Linked DNA regions of Coturnix japonica. The protein of the gene in region 1 interacts with the protein of each later gene in a pairwise test. Links are inferred from orthologs where the notes say so. Each region holds a gene or a part of one and is shown in the gene's direction. Other genes may lie near its edges. The genes, in order: DACH1, RNF14, C2H1orf35 and FGF12.

Region 1 (3,563 bases):
TTTTGCTCTAAGTTGTATTTCAAGAAAAAGCATGTGTTAGTCCTTTATTTTTGTTAGGATAGTGAAATAATTGAGAGTGTTATTTTCTGCACTATACATTATCTGCTTCTTTTGTATGTATCTTTCTAATGACAATATCGCACTGGCAAAAGAGTCAAACCAAAGAGGAATGGATATGAGCACTTAACAGTGTAATGTAGTAAAGCAAATGTAATGAGGATGACTGTCTTCGGTAGTGGATGCTTCCATACAAAAGAAAGTAAAAATAACATATTATTCTTTACAATGAAGAAAGCCAAGTAGGAGAGAAAAAATAAGACTTTGTGATTACTTTGGGAATTTATCCTTCAATGAAAGACTGAAACGCACATTGGAGGCTTTGCCTTACATTAGTTTTAACCAGTACCAAATGTCATGTCTGAAAGAAAGTCTCACATCTTAATAGAAGCATGAGCAGGATGGGATAAGCATACTACATCCCTCTTAAGAAATATTCTGTAAGAAAAGGCTGAAATACCCTTAAAAAGCTGCAGCACAGAAATATATGTACACCGTCATATGCAGGTCAAAGCCCATTAGGCAAATGGGATCTTCAGCATTAGGCAACCAGTATCAATGCCTATCTTTTGCTAGTCATGTTAACACAAGTCAAAAATCTCTACAGGCAGGATATCTGATTTATTATTATTATTATTTATTTATTTATTTACTGTCATTTTGGGGAACATTAAATCCACCGCTGCTACTGTGTATTCTACAGTGCTGCTTATTTACTGTATTGTTTCCTTCCTTCTTTGTAAATATTCCAATTAGTGATTCCTAAGGCTGTAGGATGTGTCTCATCAACCAGTGAAAGTAGGATAATCTCTCTTCTGTGAGCAGCTACACAGTAAGGGCTTGCTAATTCTGGCTCTGACTGCTGTAGTCACATCTACAATGTGTCAGCCATGATGACATTTTAATTTGGAAAGCAACATATGTTTCCTTCTCATTTATTGCAATCACTTTCAAAGTACTTATAATGAAAACATTAAAATGGTGCAATGATTCAAAATGTATTTAGTTTAGCATTTGTAAAGATACTAGCTGTTCTTTGATAGTGTAAGATAGTATGCCTAGAAAGTAGTTTCACTATACAAAATGAGAAAGTGCCAGAATTCCAAAGTCTTGCATGTTAATGATGTAGCTATACTCACTAGAGGGTTTGCGCTAATGTAATAGACATATTTTGTGTGTAAACAGTTCTGTACAGCAACACAGAAAAAATAAATAAATCTAAGACTGCTCAAAAAGATCTTACTTAGCATATACATTAAATAGAAGTAATCATGATGGATCTCTTTAAAAATTTAATGATTTGCATTCTGTGAAAGTTGCAGCTATGACTATTGAAAATGGAGACTGTGAACTGATAGGCACGTATTTTGAACCTTTCCAATATTTCTCACTACACCAGATACAAGTGGTTAATTTGGAGAAGGTTAAAGAGTCAGATAGATAAAACTTAATAGTCAAGTCTAGTATCACCTAGTATCTGGTTTTGGTAATGGTATTTCTGTAGTTAGTGTAAAAATAACAGATTCTCTAGAAAAGGATTATCCAGGTAGATCTTACAGTAAATGAGCCTCTTACAAGAGTGTTTCTGAAAACACTATGGTTGGAGTGTGGTTGAGTAGATAACAGTGTAATCTACAACTTTGTATGATTTATTTAGTGGATCACTTTCACTGAGTAGGAAAAAAAAGTGTTCACAATACTCTTTTCCAATGAGGACATAATCTCTGATATGCTCCTTCAGTCAGGGAACATACAAGTTTTATTTTAGTTCTAATTTGGAAGGAACTGTCTGGAAACATAAAACAGAAAATCATGATGGATTTTCTTTAAAACCTATCATCTTATATGATTCATTTACATCCTATTCCTGCAACCATTTCCTTTGTAGAATGTGAACAAGAAGCAGGAACAACATTTTCTAAGTAAGGGTTTTCTGCACTGAATTGTTATTTATTACTTTCCTAATCTTTTCCCTTACATTCGAGAAAGCGAAGTAATAATTATTTGGCTTGGGGATCTGGCACTGTCCATTTGTTTCTAATATAAAGGATTTGGAATAAGTTCCAAGATTTTCCAACTTACACTTTCACAAATCCTTGTCTGTTTATTAAAAGAAACAGCATGGCAAAGTGGCTCTTTAAATATCTGTGAATCCAGCAAATTTCAGGTAGCTTAAATAGATAGTGTGTAATTACACAATTTATGTGGACTGTTACAGTTGTATTGTTTCTTGGAACCCTTAATACATAATTCCATGGCCAAGTTTCAGATCTGAATTTGAGTACACTGATTTTCTTCCTTCTAGCAATAATTCAGAAAAGGTTAAAGAAGGAAAAGAAGGCAAAGAGGAAATTGCAGGAAGCACTTGAGTTTGAGACTAAACGACGGGAGCAAGCAGAACAGACACTGAAACAAGCAGCTTCAACAGATAGTCTCAGGGTCCTAAATGGTAAGAAGCCAGCTTTTGCTTCTGTGTCATTAATTTTCAATTTAAGTGTCTAAAGAACCTTGTTAGTATGAAATCTATAACATGGTGGGAGAGGGAAAAAAGGAAAATCTCTCTTCTTTCTTTTGTTCAAGGGATGCCTCTCTCTTTTTTGCTTTGTTACTTTATATAGCACGTGCAAATAAATTCATGGAAAGAATGCCCCAACTAGGCCTATTTTATATTATTAGCTTGAGAAGTCGTAGGTTTGGTTTTTTTTTTCTCCTTCTTTTTCTTCCTACCTTTATGCTTGAAAAATCTATTGCTCATTAATCTCCCTAGTCTAACAAAAAATTGTTCTGGCCTCTAGTCATTGTTCAACATTAAAAAAAACTGACAAAGGTTGATTGTATTGTAATTCAGCTTTAGAGTAACAGGTTGTAAAAAGGGCCATAAGAATCAAATGAAATATGTGTCAGTCTTACCTTTCTATGCTTCTAGACTCTCTGACCCCAGAGATAGAAGCTGACCGCAGTGGGGGCAGAACAGATGCTGAAAGGACAATACAAGGTAAGAATTTGCAAAAGGCTATAAATCTAGATCTTGCTATATGAGTTTTTCCTCAGCTTTAGAATGCTATTCAAGCATGTAGCCTACCATCTGGGCCACATCAAAACAAGTTCAAACAAGGTCAAGTTCATCTTGCTTTATAGGAGAGAATATATTCAGTGGCGATAGATTTTCTTTAAATTAATAGGTCATTTCTGTTTATCTTCTGCAATTAAAGAAGAATAATTAATTTGAAGCAATATAGGCTTTAATCTCAGGCATGCAAAATGCAGTTTTTGTGAATATATAACATTTAGGATAACTTTTTTTTAAAGGCTGATTTAAAACAATTTGAGCCTTTCAACTATACAAATGGGTAACATTCAAGGCAAGATGAGAATTTCATAGCTAATATTCAGTGGCAGTTCCTGAAAGGTGTGTTTCAATAAGCTACTGTGAGCATTAATGATGAATAAACTGTTTATTCACTTCCTGGATTTTTCATTTACCACATCCCATTATTTACAGTTTA
Region 2 (4,324 bases), on another chromosome or scaffold:
AACTTTGTATGTTCTGAATACAGATTGAAGCAAGCAAATACCACAGCACTCTTGGTAATCTTCAGAGAGGTTTGGTCAGTGCCTGAAGTCAGAATGCTTAGGTAGCCAACTGCTCGGTCAGACCAGCAGTATTTCTTGCCATAGTGATTGTAGCTAGAGGCTTCTGATATTGTTACTGCACCTGCAGAAGCAGCCACGAGCTGTCTCCATGTTAAAGCATGTTCATGCTGAGTCAGTCTTGTTTTGAGAAGGGAGACTGCAAACGCTGTAGTCCAGTTTTCCATGCTGTTCACAGCAGTGCTCATCAGGAAATGCCACTAATGGTAGGATGGTGAGACAGGGATGGGGAGGGAGGCTGCTCCTCAGGGCCTGCAGCATCCTCTATCTGCTTACCTTAGTCTAGCCTGCATTTAAGCATTAACACACCTCTAGGTTTATCTTTACCTGCACCTGAACAGCTCATACTGCCACGAGGTTAGTGGTTAGTGTTCCCATTACCTTTATTCCTTAGTGGGCATCATCACATCACTGATAGCCCCAAATCAGGTTCATTTACCTGCTCTGTAGAATAGCAGCTGTACGCTCCTAACAGCTCAGCCATGGATGTGCTCTAACCATGAAGTAGACGCCCAGGTTAGTTACATGAGCGCTGCCTGCAGCTCGGGGGGTGCTCATAGAAGGAGGGCTGTGTTTCAGCTGCCCGCACTGAGCGCTGACTGATGCCTTCCCAACTCCTTGCAGGGCTGTGCTTGCTGCCATGAGGCCTTCATTTGGAATGCTTGGTTTTCTTCTTTTCCAGGAACAAAGCGTTTTCATTTTCTATGAGTTTTCTGCAGTAATTTGCTTCTAGTACTGATTGTCATTAAACTTGCAAACATGAATTTGTATGTGTTAAAGCTGACGTTGAAACACAGTTCAGCTGTTGGAAGAAATAAATGCACTGGATTCTACTGGATGACTCTGACTGTCTGAAGCCGTTGATTGTGAGGAGAAGTAATGATGGTGTCGGGGGGTGTGAGCGCGGTCTCCTTATTGCCGCTGTTCCAGGAGGCGGGGATGGGTTACGGGTGTGTTATTGGGGTGGGCTACGGGTGTGTTATTGGGGTGGGTTACGGTGTGTTATTGGGGTGGGTTACGGTGCGTTATTGGGGTGGGTTACGGTGCGTTATTGGGGTGGGTTACGGTGTGTTATTGGGGTGGGAGTGGAGCTGAGCTCCGGCTGCAGCTGTTGGTTCGGGCGGAGCTGATGGCGGGGCAGCACAGCTGCACCTGGCGCTGTTTTGCAGCTGTTGTCGTGGCTCCCGTCCATGCGGGGCAGCTCCTGCCGCCTTCCCCGGCCGCGTGCGCTCAGTGACCGCATGGTGCGGGGCGGTACCGGCCCCGCCGAGGGACCCCGCGTTCCTCCCGGCCGCAGGGGGCGCTGTGGGGACGCGGAGCGGGGCGGGCGGAGCCGGGCGCTCTGCGCTGTCAGCAGCGCGGCGGGGCCGGGCCGGGTCGGGGCCTCCGCCCTCAGCCGCTCCTTCCCGGTCCGTCCTTCCCGTCCGCCGCGGTGCCGGCAGCGCCACGTTCCGCGTCCGCCGGGCCGCCACGAGACTGAGGTAACGGGGGGAGCCGTGCCGGAAGAGCGGGCCGTGCCGTGCCGTACTGTGCTGTGCTGTGCTGTGCCGTGCTGTGCTGTAATGTGCCGAGCCGTACTGTGCCGTACTGTGCCGAGCCGTACTGTGCCGTGCCGTGCCGGCTTCGCCGGGACCCGGGTGCTGCGGGCGCCCCGTGCGGCCTCGGCTCCGCCTGGCGCCGTCACTGCGGCCTCGTATCCCGGCCGTGCCGTGCGGAGCGTGTCCGGGCGGCTTCTCTTCCCGGCTGCCTTCGGTTCCGTTCCTGCTCGGTGCGGGCGGTGCCGATCGGACCCGCCCGGGTGCGGCGTGTGTCTGTGCTGAGGGGACTTTGACCCTCCGCTCCGTGCCCGCTCGCTGACAGTGCGCTCCGTGTATTTGTGCGTGCCGCGCTCCGGGCTGGGGACGGATCCGCAGCTGTGCGGGGAATTGCGGCGCCTCCTGCCGGACGCAGCGCGGCTCGGAGCTTCCAGCTGAGACCTGCGGCGCTTCTCTCATCGCTTTATAGAGCGCTGCTCCAGCCGTTCTGTCACTAACTCGGTTCCGTTCTCTTCCGCTCCGTTCTCCCTTCCAGACGCCGTGCCATGTCCCGCTGCCGCTTTCCTTTATCTCTCTGCTGTTCCCGCAGCTGCTCTCGGCCGCTGGGCACCGTTTGCTTTTTGCCTCCTCCACGTTCTGTGGGTGTTCCCCATGGTGTAAATAAAGCTCCCAGCACTTCTCAACTCGGAGACAAAGCCTGACTCTGTCCTATGCTCCCACTGCTTACTTTGGGTCCTGACTCTTCCTGTGGAGGTGTAAAACAGACCCAGACGTGTAGTTTGGATGGGACGCGTTAACTCGGTTGATGCTGTAGAGTGGTGTTAATTCCACAGACCATTTAAATGTCTTCAGAGGACAGAGAAGCTCAGGAGGACGAGCTGTTGGCGCTGGCCAGCATCTACGATGAAGATGAGTTTAAGAGAGCGGAGTCGGCACAGGGAGGAGAGACCAGGATTTGTTTGGAACTGCCCCAGAACTTCAGAGTTGTTGTGAGCGGTGAGTTGTGATGGCTGCTCTTGTCTTTACGTTCACTTTGACCAGGTGATTTTCTGGGGCCTCCCCAGCTGCTCCCATGAGCTGTAGGGATATTTACCTGACGGAGCCGTGTGGGACCCCTCCTTGTGTCCATCGCTGGGGTTGGTGTCGGGGAGGGCACTCAGCCTTTTGGATGCAGCCTCTCCATAGAGCTTCAAAGTCAGAGCTCAGTCATGGTGTTTCTTTGGGGTAATCAAGTCAATATATTTATTATTCCCCTGGGGGTGTTTTCCTTGCACTTGGCTCCTGCAGGATCTGCTATTTCACAGCACTGCTGTGTATTGGTTTAACCCCATACAACCTCATGGCACTTTACTGCACCATTATTTGGTGTTGAATGAATCACTTTAAACTGAGAAGTCTATCAAACATACAGAGGGGTCGCGTGTGCCGTCCTTTGGTTCTCACCTCTTTGTGATGTCTCACCCTGTCTCCATTGGCTCAGGCATTTCTGCAGAGAGTCCGCAGAGCTTTGAATACACCGTTCACTTTCTGCCTCCACTCGTGCTGAATTTTGAGCTCCCACCAGACTACCCGTCATCCTCCCCGCCTGCCTTCACTCTCAGCAGCAAATGGCTCTCCCCAGCACAGGTTTGCAGATCAGTTCTAACATTATAGCAGAGCTTTTGTGGTCATGAGTGTATAATTAACACCATTAGCTGTGGTGGATGTCAGTATAGTAGATGCAGTTATGATGTACGTGGTGACGTCTCTTTTTCTTGGCTCTTTTGTTTCCTAGCTGTTCTTACTTGGTTACCCTTCTGACAGTTCAGTGTGTGCCTTACGAGGCGCTATTTCTATGTCTTTTATGTATTACCCATCAGTTCCACAATTTGAGGTGTAGGTTTGCACCATGGGAGCTGTCACGAGTCCCCAGGACTCACTGAAGTCTGCACTGGTTTCTCTTTCCCAGCTCAGCGCTCTTTGTGAGCATTTAGACAACTTATGGGAAGAAAACCGAGGCTGTGTGGTCCTGTTTGCCTGGATGCAGTTTCTGAAGGAAGAAACGTTGAATTACCTGAATATTTCATCCCCATACGAGCTCAAAATGCGCCAACAAGGGAGTACATGGGGCAGGACGCCTTCGGTGCCTCAGGATGCCAAGGACTGTGTTGGTGCAGTGGGCTGTGCTGCGGCTGAAGAAGGAATTGATAAGAGAGCTGTACAGGACGTGGAATCTTTGTCCAGCCTGATTCGGGAGATCCTGGACTTTGATCAGGCTCAGAGAAGGAAGTGCTTTAACAGTAAGATGTACATGTGCAATATTTGCTTCTGTGAGAAGCTGGGCAGTGAATGTATGTACTTCACCGAGTGCAGCCATGTGTACTGCAAAGCCTGCCTGAAGGACTACTTTGAAATTCAGATCAGGGATGGGCAGGTCCACTGCCTCAACTGTCCAGAACCCAACTGTTCTTCTGTTGCTACTCCTGGTCAGGTAAGGGCTGTGCTGAACCCAGTCTGGGTTATCATGGCGAATACACACAGGGAAATTCTTTCTCTGAGCCACACAGATTCCTCCAGGTTATAACTGGATTATCAGGTACATATTTTGCCTGCTGGCAAAATGGTGGCACTGAACTGATGTCCTGTTATATTTGGTGCTGCGTGTTTGTTCATCCTGTTATTTAACTGTCATC
Region 3 (4,043 bases), on another chromosome or scaffold:
GCATCCCCTCGCATAGAGCTCAATGGCGGCTGTGTGGAGAGCGCTGAGGTGAGAGCGATGCTCGGCCATTGGGAGCCCCAGTGTGGGGTCTGAAGAGCGGGTTCATCACCTGCCCTGTGGTAATCAACCCTCACACACTCAGGAGATACACTATGTAGTTGGGGACACTATGTATTTTGGGGTAGTCCAGGCCCTGGTGCTTGGTGCTTTCCCACAGATCAAATTCAGGCAGGAAACTCTGTTCTCCAGTGTCCCATCTAATTAATGTGCCCTTCAAGGCCTCTTTGAAAACCCGTCCAAGGGCAGTTTGTTGGTTATCTGGATACCAAGTATTGCTCTGCTCTTGTGCTGTGAGACCTCACCTGGAATGCTGTGTGCAGATGGCAATGGGGCAGTGAGGCACAGGTTGCCCAAGGAGGCTGTGGATGCCCCATCCCTGCAGGCATTCAAGGCCAGGCTGGATGTGGCTCTGGGCAGCCTGGGCTGCTGGTTGGTGACCCTGCACACAGCAGGGGGTTGGAATAGGATGAGCATCATGGGCCTTTTCAACCCAGGCCATTCAATGATTCTATGATTCTGCAACCCTTACAGTTCCCTTCCAGCTCAAATAACGCTACAGCTCCATGACTGCTTTCCCTCTTGCAGTGCCCTGCAGCCCCGCTGCCTTCACACATCCTGCAGCCGCCACAACTCCAACCGCACCTCCATCACCCACCTCCGCCGCCAGGTGTTCGGCCGCCTCTACCCGCTGCTGCTGGTCCGCACCGACGGCTCCACCATCCACATCCGCTACAAGGAGCCCAAAAGGATCCTCATGGTAAGAGGTTCGACACAACAATGAGTGCACTCAGGGCTGTGCTTTGCTTTGGGTGCTGCAGCCTCACCCTCTGCCATCCCTCCCCCTGCAGCTGCCCCTGGATAGCAGCACGTTGCCCGAGGCTGAGCGCAAGGCCCGGCTGAGGCGGCAGTTCCCCAGCAAACTGCGGGTCAAGCAGGAGGAGACATTGGAGGAGCTGGATTTGGAGAAATACAAGAAATTCTGGAAGAAATAAAGCACCGATTTGGGGTCACCTCCCACCAAGGCCTCCTTACCGAGCTGACAGACGCAGCTATAGAAATAAAAGCCATTTTGTTAAGGATTTATTAGGGTTTTTAGGTGGTTTTGCCTCATTTTACGCCTGCTTTGGGCCGTTTCCCTCCCCCCTCCTCTTCTCCCCCTCCACGCTGCGGTGGTACCGTCCTCCACCCCTCCGGGCCCGGTGGTACCACCCGGGGAGGGGCTGCAGTGCGCGGGCCCCGCGGCCCGGAGAGGTGCGTGCCGTTGTTGGGGGGGGTCGGGCTTTGGGGGTCTCGGGTTCGGCCGTTTTCCCTTCCACCGTCTCTATGATCCCGGTGTGCGGCCCCGGTCCCCTCCCTCCCGTGCCCCCGAGCTGTGCAGCCCCCGTTGGGCTGTCCCAGCTCATACAGACACCCATTGCCAGTACAGGTAACCCCCCCCAACCCACTCAGACCTCCATTGCCAAGCTATGTGTCCCCTCTCTAACCTATGCAAGCCCATTGCCAGCCCGTGTGTCCCTAATGGGTCATGCAGTCGCCTTCCTCCAACCCACTACAGATCTCATGTCCAGGCTTTGCAGTCCCCCTCTACCCCAAACCCATTCAACCCTCCATCTCCAGACTCCAACCCCACTGATCATGTAACCCCCCCCCTCCCCAAAGCTGTGCACCCTCCTCCACCTCCAGACATTGTAGAATCCACCCCATACTTTACCCTTCCCCTCTATTCTTTACAACCCCCCCCCAGCCCCCACCACTAAGGCATCATCGTGACCCCTGCTTGATACCTAAAACCTCCTATGGCTTTAGGATTGCAATAGGGGGCACCTCCCTGCCCTCCTTCCTCATTGCACTGCAGGGGAACCCTTCATCTCCCTCATCCCACCACAATGCATTGCTGGGGTGGCCCTGTGCCTCCCCATTCCTCCTCCCATTGCCCTGCAGGGGCAGCCTGCTGTTCTGCCATGATAACAGGGCCCATCCTTTTAGCACCCCGTCACCATGTTCGGCTCATCCCGAGGAGGGGTCCGGGGGGGCCAGGACCAGTTCAGCTGGGAAGACGTCAAGACAGACAAACAGCGCGAGAACTACCTGGGTAAGGCCTTCATCCCCAGCCCTGCGTGTGGGGTGAAGATAAAGGACTGGGGATAATGTGGAGCTGTTGTATCCCTGCAGGAAACTCTTTGATGGCACCGGTGGGACGCTGGCAGAAGGGCAAGGACCTGACGTGGTACGCCAAGGGCAAGCAGGAGCCCACCCCGCTGTCCCGTGAGGAGGAGCTGGCGGCCGTGCGCCTGGCTGAGCAGGAGGCCATGATGGCAGCACTGTGAGCACCTCCCTACAAACCCCCTGTGACAACCCTCCCCAAAAATAGACAGTCTGAACTGTGGTGGGCATGGAACATCAGGCATAATGGAATCACGGGCATGGAACAGTGGGCATGATGGAATCACGGGCATGGAACATTGGGCATGATGGAATCACGGGCATGGAACGGTGGGCATGACGGAATGGTGGGTGTGGGATGGTGGGCATGATGGAATGGTAGGCTTGGAATGGTGGGCATGGAACACTGGGCATGGAACATTGGGCATGATGGAATGGTAGGCATGGAATATTGGGCATGATAGAATAATGGGCATGGAATAGTGGGCATGGAACAGTGGGCATGATGGAGTCATGAGCATGGAACATTGGGCATGATAGAATAATGGGCATGGAACGATGGGCATGCAACACTTGGCATGGAATCGTGGGCATGATGGAATGGTGGGCATAGAATGGTGAGCATGGAACATTGGGTATGATGGAGTGGTGAGCATGGGATGGTAGGTGTGGAACATTGGGCATGATGGAATAATGGGCATGGAATGGTGGGCATGGAACATTGAGTATGATGGAGTGGTGGGCATGGAATAGTGGGTATGGAACACTGGGCATGATGGAATGGTGGGCATGGAATGGTGGGTGTGGAATGGTGGGCATGGAACATTGAGTATGATGGAATGGTAGGCTTGGAATAGTGGGCATGGAACAGTGGGTATGGAATGGTGGGCATAGAGCATTGGGCATGTTGGAATAATGGGCATGGAATGGTGGGCATGGAACACTGGGCACGATGGAATCATGAGCATGGAACATTGGACATGGAATGGTAGGCATGATGGGATGGTGGGCATGAAATGGTGGGCATGGAACATTGGGCATGATGGAATGGTAGGCTTGGAATGGTGGGCGTAGAACATTGGGTATGATGGAATGGTGAGCTTTGAACACTGAGCATGATGGAATGGTGGGCATGGAACATTGGGCGTGGAATGGTGGGCATGATGGAATAGTGGGGATGGAATGGTGGGCATGGAACATTGGGTATGATGGAACATTGGCCATGATGGAATGGCGGGTATGATGGAATAATGGGCATGGAACACTGGGCATAATGGAATAATGGGCATGGAATGGTGGGCATGGAACATTGGGCATGGAATGGTGGGCATGGAATATTGGGTATAATGGAGTGGTAGGCGTGGAATGCTGAGCATGGAATGGTGGGCTCTCATACTCCAAAATGGGGTTTGGATGGTGCTGTGCAGAGCTGGGGTTTAGACTTGAGGATCCTTATGTGTCCATTCTGAATGGGGCCATGCTGTGACTGCCTGCTTCTGTCACTAGGGGCTACAAGAACGTGAAGAGGCAGCCCACAGGCCTCAGCAAGGAGGTGAGGCCATCCCCGCTGTCCCTATAGGCCAGGACATCCCCCGTGCTCTGTGTTCCTATGGGCTCTCAATGTTTTGCCCACAGGACCTGGCTGAGGTTTGCAAACGGGACAGCACAGAGCGAGCCGAGGACATGGACCGGGTGGTGGGCTTGGGCAGCTCCAGGTGAGCACTGAAATGCTGCATTTCAGAGCAGCTGTTTAAAAACAAAACACAACGTTTATGTTGGGTTTTATGGGTGTCATTTCTGCCCCCAGCGGCAGCGCCGGG
Region 4 (3,563 bases), on another chromosome or scaffold:
ATAAAGTAAGCATGCAGAGTTTAAAAAGTGTGATGCGTCTGATAAACTGCAGTGATCAATGTGTTTGTGGCCAAAGGGTTTAGCAGTGGAGTGTGATAAAAGTGCTATAATCAATAAGCGCTGACAGGTATAACTCTGGTTGTGGGAGAAGATGGTAAAATGCATGACAATATCAGCAGAAGCATGAAATGTCTTAATTTTTTTTCTGTCTTCTGCATGTAAAACCAAAGAGTATGTCCATCCTGTGTGCTTGCACATGGCATAGAAAATTTAACTTTTGCAACAGAAGGAAAGTGTTCTGTTTTGTTTTTTTATTATTACACCAGACCCCATAGGGTAGAATTATAGAATCATTAATGTTGGAAAAGACCACTAAGATCATCCAGTCTGACCGCTAACCACGTCCCTCAGTGCCATCTCCACAATTCTTGAACAGCTGCAGTGGTGGTGATTCCTGACCTCCCTGGGCAGTCTGTGCCAGCGCCTCACCACTCTTTCAGAGAGGATTTTTTTCTTTAGACTCAACCTGAACCTCCCCTGGTGCAACTTGAGGCCATTCCCTCTTGCTGTTACCTATGAGAAGAGGCTGGTCCATGCCTCACTCCTACCTCCTTTCAGGGAGTTGTATAGAGTAATAAGGTCTCCCATGAGCCTAGTGGAATTGTCCATTATAATAGTTGATAGGGTACTACTACAGGTTGTCCTCTTCCCCATCCTTGTATCTGGTATTTCAAGTTAAGTGGGATTTTTTATTTTTTTTTCCCTGACACAAAATGAGACATTTACTTCTATGCTTGTTTGAGGTTTTCTCCCATGTTTTTACATTGTTGTAATAAGGCTTAAAAGTAAGAAAACTTACAAGCTTTGAAATCTGTTCCAGAACAAACAAGATGAAATATTCATTTAAAGAATGACAACAAAAGGCTTTAACTTATTCAGAGACTTTTAATGATTTGATTGCTGAAACTGTTCTGAGAACTTGCAGAGTTTTGATTAATGCCCAAATGCTTGCAGTAGAGGAAAATGTTTGCATCATAAAACTACTTTGGCCATCAGTCACCTCTGTCAGATGCGTGCCCTTCAGCTTGCCTGCCTGCCCACTTGCTTCCCTACTCTGCAACATGTTGTAGGAGATGCTTTGCCATGCCTGCAAGCCATGATTGTGAGCTGTGGGACCAAGAGAGCTTGGCAGTGCTTTTCCTACTGTCATACAGTGCAGTGGGATTATTGGTGTGCTCTTTTAGCATGCACTTGTGGAGAAAAGAGAGTTTTGGACATGGAGGTACTTCCAGGTGGAACTTCTCCCCACTAATTCTGGGTGTTATCACCCCGCTGCCTAATGAGTGCTTTGAATGGTCTGTCACAAGTTTTCTATGGAAGATAAATTGGCTGTACAGAAAGAATGATGATGCCCACCTTGCTTCATTATTTGCAGTAGCATGCTCCATTTTTCAGTGGGGGAAAAATTAGGGAAGGGAAATTGCTTGTAAATAGACTTGTTAATTACAGAGGGTTTTAGACCTTGCCAGTAGTGCGAAATTGATTGAAATATAGGCTTGCCTTGGTTACTGTGCTTCTCAACTGTAGAATTATGTTGTAATGTAGCTCTTTGGTGCCCAGTAGCTACACTGGGGCATGTTTGTCTCCTCTTGGAACTGTAAGAGTAGTGCACTCCTTGACTCTTGTTCAAAGACCAATACTTACACTGAACTTTGTATGCATCTATTGAAGCCCTCTGCTTGCTTCCTATGAAACTGCATAAACGTAGGCACTGATTCGTGTAAGGCTTAAGCACACATTTTGATATTTCATTGAAGATGGTGCTTATAACTGCAAGAAACTGTGCAGTTTCTGGGAGTTCAACAGATCTCTTGTGATCTCTACAGCTGTTTGCAAGGAAGCAACAATTTACTTCTTTTTTACTACTTTTCTCTCCATATTTGCTTGAAATGTTTTCCTCTTTAAAAGGGGATCAACAACCACTTTTGTCTCATCCCTTCTGTAGTAATTCACATAAAGGAGGCTCTTGAGAAATATCTCATGATGGAGTTAAATCTATATGTTACCTGGCATGTGTGTGTCTAACAGGTCTCCTTGGAGAGCAGTGTTGGCATTGAGTTGTCTTGTAGCCATTACGGGAAGACTTCTTTGTGCTATGCTTGCTATAGTGTCATATGTAGAAGTTTGTAAATGGTCTATAAAATGAATCAGTTTGAGGATTATATCCTTACAGTCAGTTGGAAAATGGGAATGCTTCATTGTACTCTGTCACTCAGTTCTTCTTCTCCTCTCTGCCTACTGCTGGGTCTCCTCTGGGCCCGAGACCTCGAATGAAGCATTCCCACACTTCTGCTGGACCCTGTGCTCATTTTTCCTCACCCTGAGCTCCCCAGGGCAGAGTCCAGTGCTGAAGCACAAGGTCCTGCAGCACCTGGGTGCTCTTGTCCTACAGATCTCAGTGGGAACAAAGGCATGCTAATGCCTGAGTGTTCAGTGCTGACAGGCCTCTCTTTTGAGCCCCTTAGAAATTCAAAAGCTCGACCATACATAATGGGTATGCTTACAGGGAAAGGTCTTTCACTGAGATCCAGGGGCTGTTTGAAATCGAGCAGTATGAAATAATTGGCAGGAAGTGGCTGCAGTGCTTTAGTCATTTGGATGGCAGTAAAACTGAGTTCTGAAAGGTCGTATGTTCTGTCCTATCTAGTGCTGCTTCTGAATGAGGAGCGGAGCTTGTGTCAGGTTCTGCATCTCCTGTCCGTTTTAAAAACTGCTTTCAGAGTCAAAGCTATGGCTGCAGATCCTTCACATAGCTGGAACAGGATTTGTTTCCAACTCAGCATTGGGGTGGGTTGGCTCTAGGGCAAGAAGCAGCAGAAGCCAAACGAGCTGATGTCTCAGTAACGTTTGCTTTTCTTTCTGCAGCCCTTTTCAACCTAATTCCTGTGGGTCTTCGTGTGGTGGCAATCCAAGGGGTGAAGGCAGGCCTGTACGTTGCCATGAATGCTGAGGGCTATCTCTACAGCTCAGTAAGTACTTGCACCCATGGTGGCTGGATTTTGTAAGCGGGAGGGAGGACTTGGAGGCAGTCCCATATTGGAAAGCCTGTAAAAGCAGGAATGGTGGGAGCTGCTGCAAAGCCGTGCAATATTCACTTCAAAGTGTCTCTGCGGAGCTTCGTGGTGATGTTTCCTGACCTGTGAAGATATACTTTGCATTCCTTTGAGTAGTTACTTAATGTAGGTCACGTTGTAGAGGAGGTTTGGTGGTTTGCTGGTTATATTCTGGTTTCATATTTGTGAAATGGGATGGACTGAATGGAATTGCTTTTGAATTGCACCCAGAAAACTGATCGTAGCTGGTGCTCTGATGGGTCATACTCAGCTTATGGCTAAGGTGTAAATCCACTGTAATACACTGACTTCATTTAAATGGTTCTGGACTGTTCTGTTGGCAGTGCTTCAGTGGAGCAGAATTACCCTGTATTTGTGTGGTCTTTTTAATGCACATAAAAGATAAGTGAGGCATTTTTTACTGACTAATTCCCCTATAACTTTCTTAGA

What was found.
Region 2: the proteins of DACH1 (region 1) and RNF14 interact in binary tests that used the Homo sapiens proteins (3 or more experiments, as listed by UniProt). The two-hybrid records come from large-scale screens. The link is inferred for Coturnix japonica from reciprocal best matches to the Homo sapiens genes DACH1 and RNF14.
Region 3: the proteins of DACH1 (region 1) and C2H1orf35 interact in binary tests that used the Homo sapiens proteins (3 or more experiments, as listed by UniProt). The two-hybrid records come from large-scale screens. The link is inferred for Coturnix japonica from reciprocal best matches to the Homo sapiens genes DACH1 and C1orf35.
Region 4: the proteins of DACH1 (region 1) and FGF12 interact in binary tests that used the Homo sapiens proteins (3 or more experiments, as listed by UniProt). The two-hybrid records come from large-scale screens. The link is inferred for Coturnix japonica from reciprocal best matches to the Homo sapiens genes DACH1 and FGF12.

Annotation. Positions count from the first base shown.
Region 1 is NC_029516.1:140,895,004-140,898,566, forward strand, and holds part of DACH1 (dachshund homolog 1), read left to right. Parts: intron 1-2,362; coding exon 2,363-2,506; intron 2,507-2,983; coding exon 2,984-3,052; intron 3,053-3,563. UniProt on the Homo sapiens protein: Transcription factor that is involved in regulation of organogenesis. Seems to be a regulator of SIX1, SIX6 and probably SIX5.
Region 2 is NC_029528.1:1,070,912-1,075,235, reverse strand, and holds the start of RNF14 (E3 ubiquitin-protein ligase RNF14), read left to right. Parts: upstream 1-1,483; 5' UTR 1,484-1,598; intron 1,599-2,351; exon of another isoform or gene 2,352-2,485; 5' UTR 2,486-2,494; coding exon 2,495-2,648; intron 2,649-3,132; coding exon 3,133-3,278; intron 3,279-3,600; coding exon 3,601-4,122; intron 4,123-4,324. UniProt on the Homo sapiens protein: E3 ubiquitin-protein ligase that plays a key role in the RNF14-RNF25 translation quality control pathway, a pathway that takes place when a ribosome has stalled during translation, and which promotes ubiquitination and degradation of translation factors on stalled ribosomes.
Region 3 is NC_029517.1:2,070,602-2,074,644, forward strand, and holds the start of C2H1orf35 (multiple myeloma tumor-associated protein 2), read left to right. Parts: upstream 1-1,210; 5' UTR 1,211-1,311; intron 1,312-1,335; exon of another isoform or gene 1,336-1,486; intron 1,487-2,046; 5' UTR 2,047-2,058; coding exon 2,059-2,152; intron 2,153-2,232; coding exon 2,233-2,383; intron 2,384-3,729; coding exon 3,730-3,775; intron 3,776-3,858; coding exon 3,859-3,938; intron 3,939-4,030; coding exon 4,031-4,043. Other genes in the region: MRPL55 (39S ribosomal protein L55, mitochondrial), read left to right, coding at 23-48, 646-817, 909-1,052.
Region 4 is NC_029524.1:11,608,799-11,612,361, forward strand, and holds part of FGF12 (fibroblast growth factor 12), read left to right. Parts: intron 1-2,925; coding exon 2,926-3,029; intron 3,030-3,563. UniProt on the Homo sapiens protein: Involved in nervous system development and function. Involved in the positive regulation of voltage-gated sodium channel activity. Promotes neuronal excitability by elevating the voltage dependence of neuronal sodium channel SCN8A fast inactivation.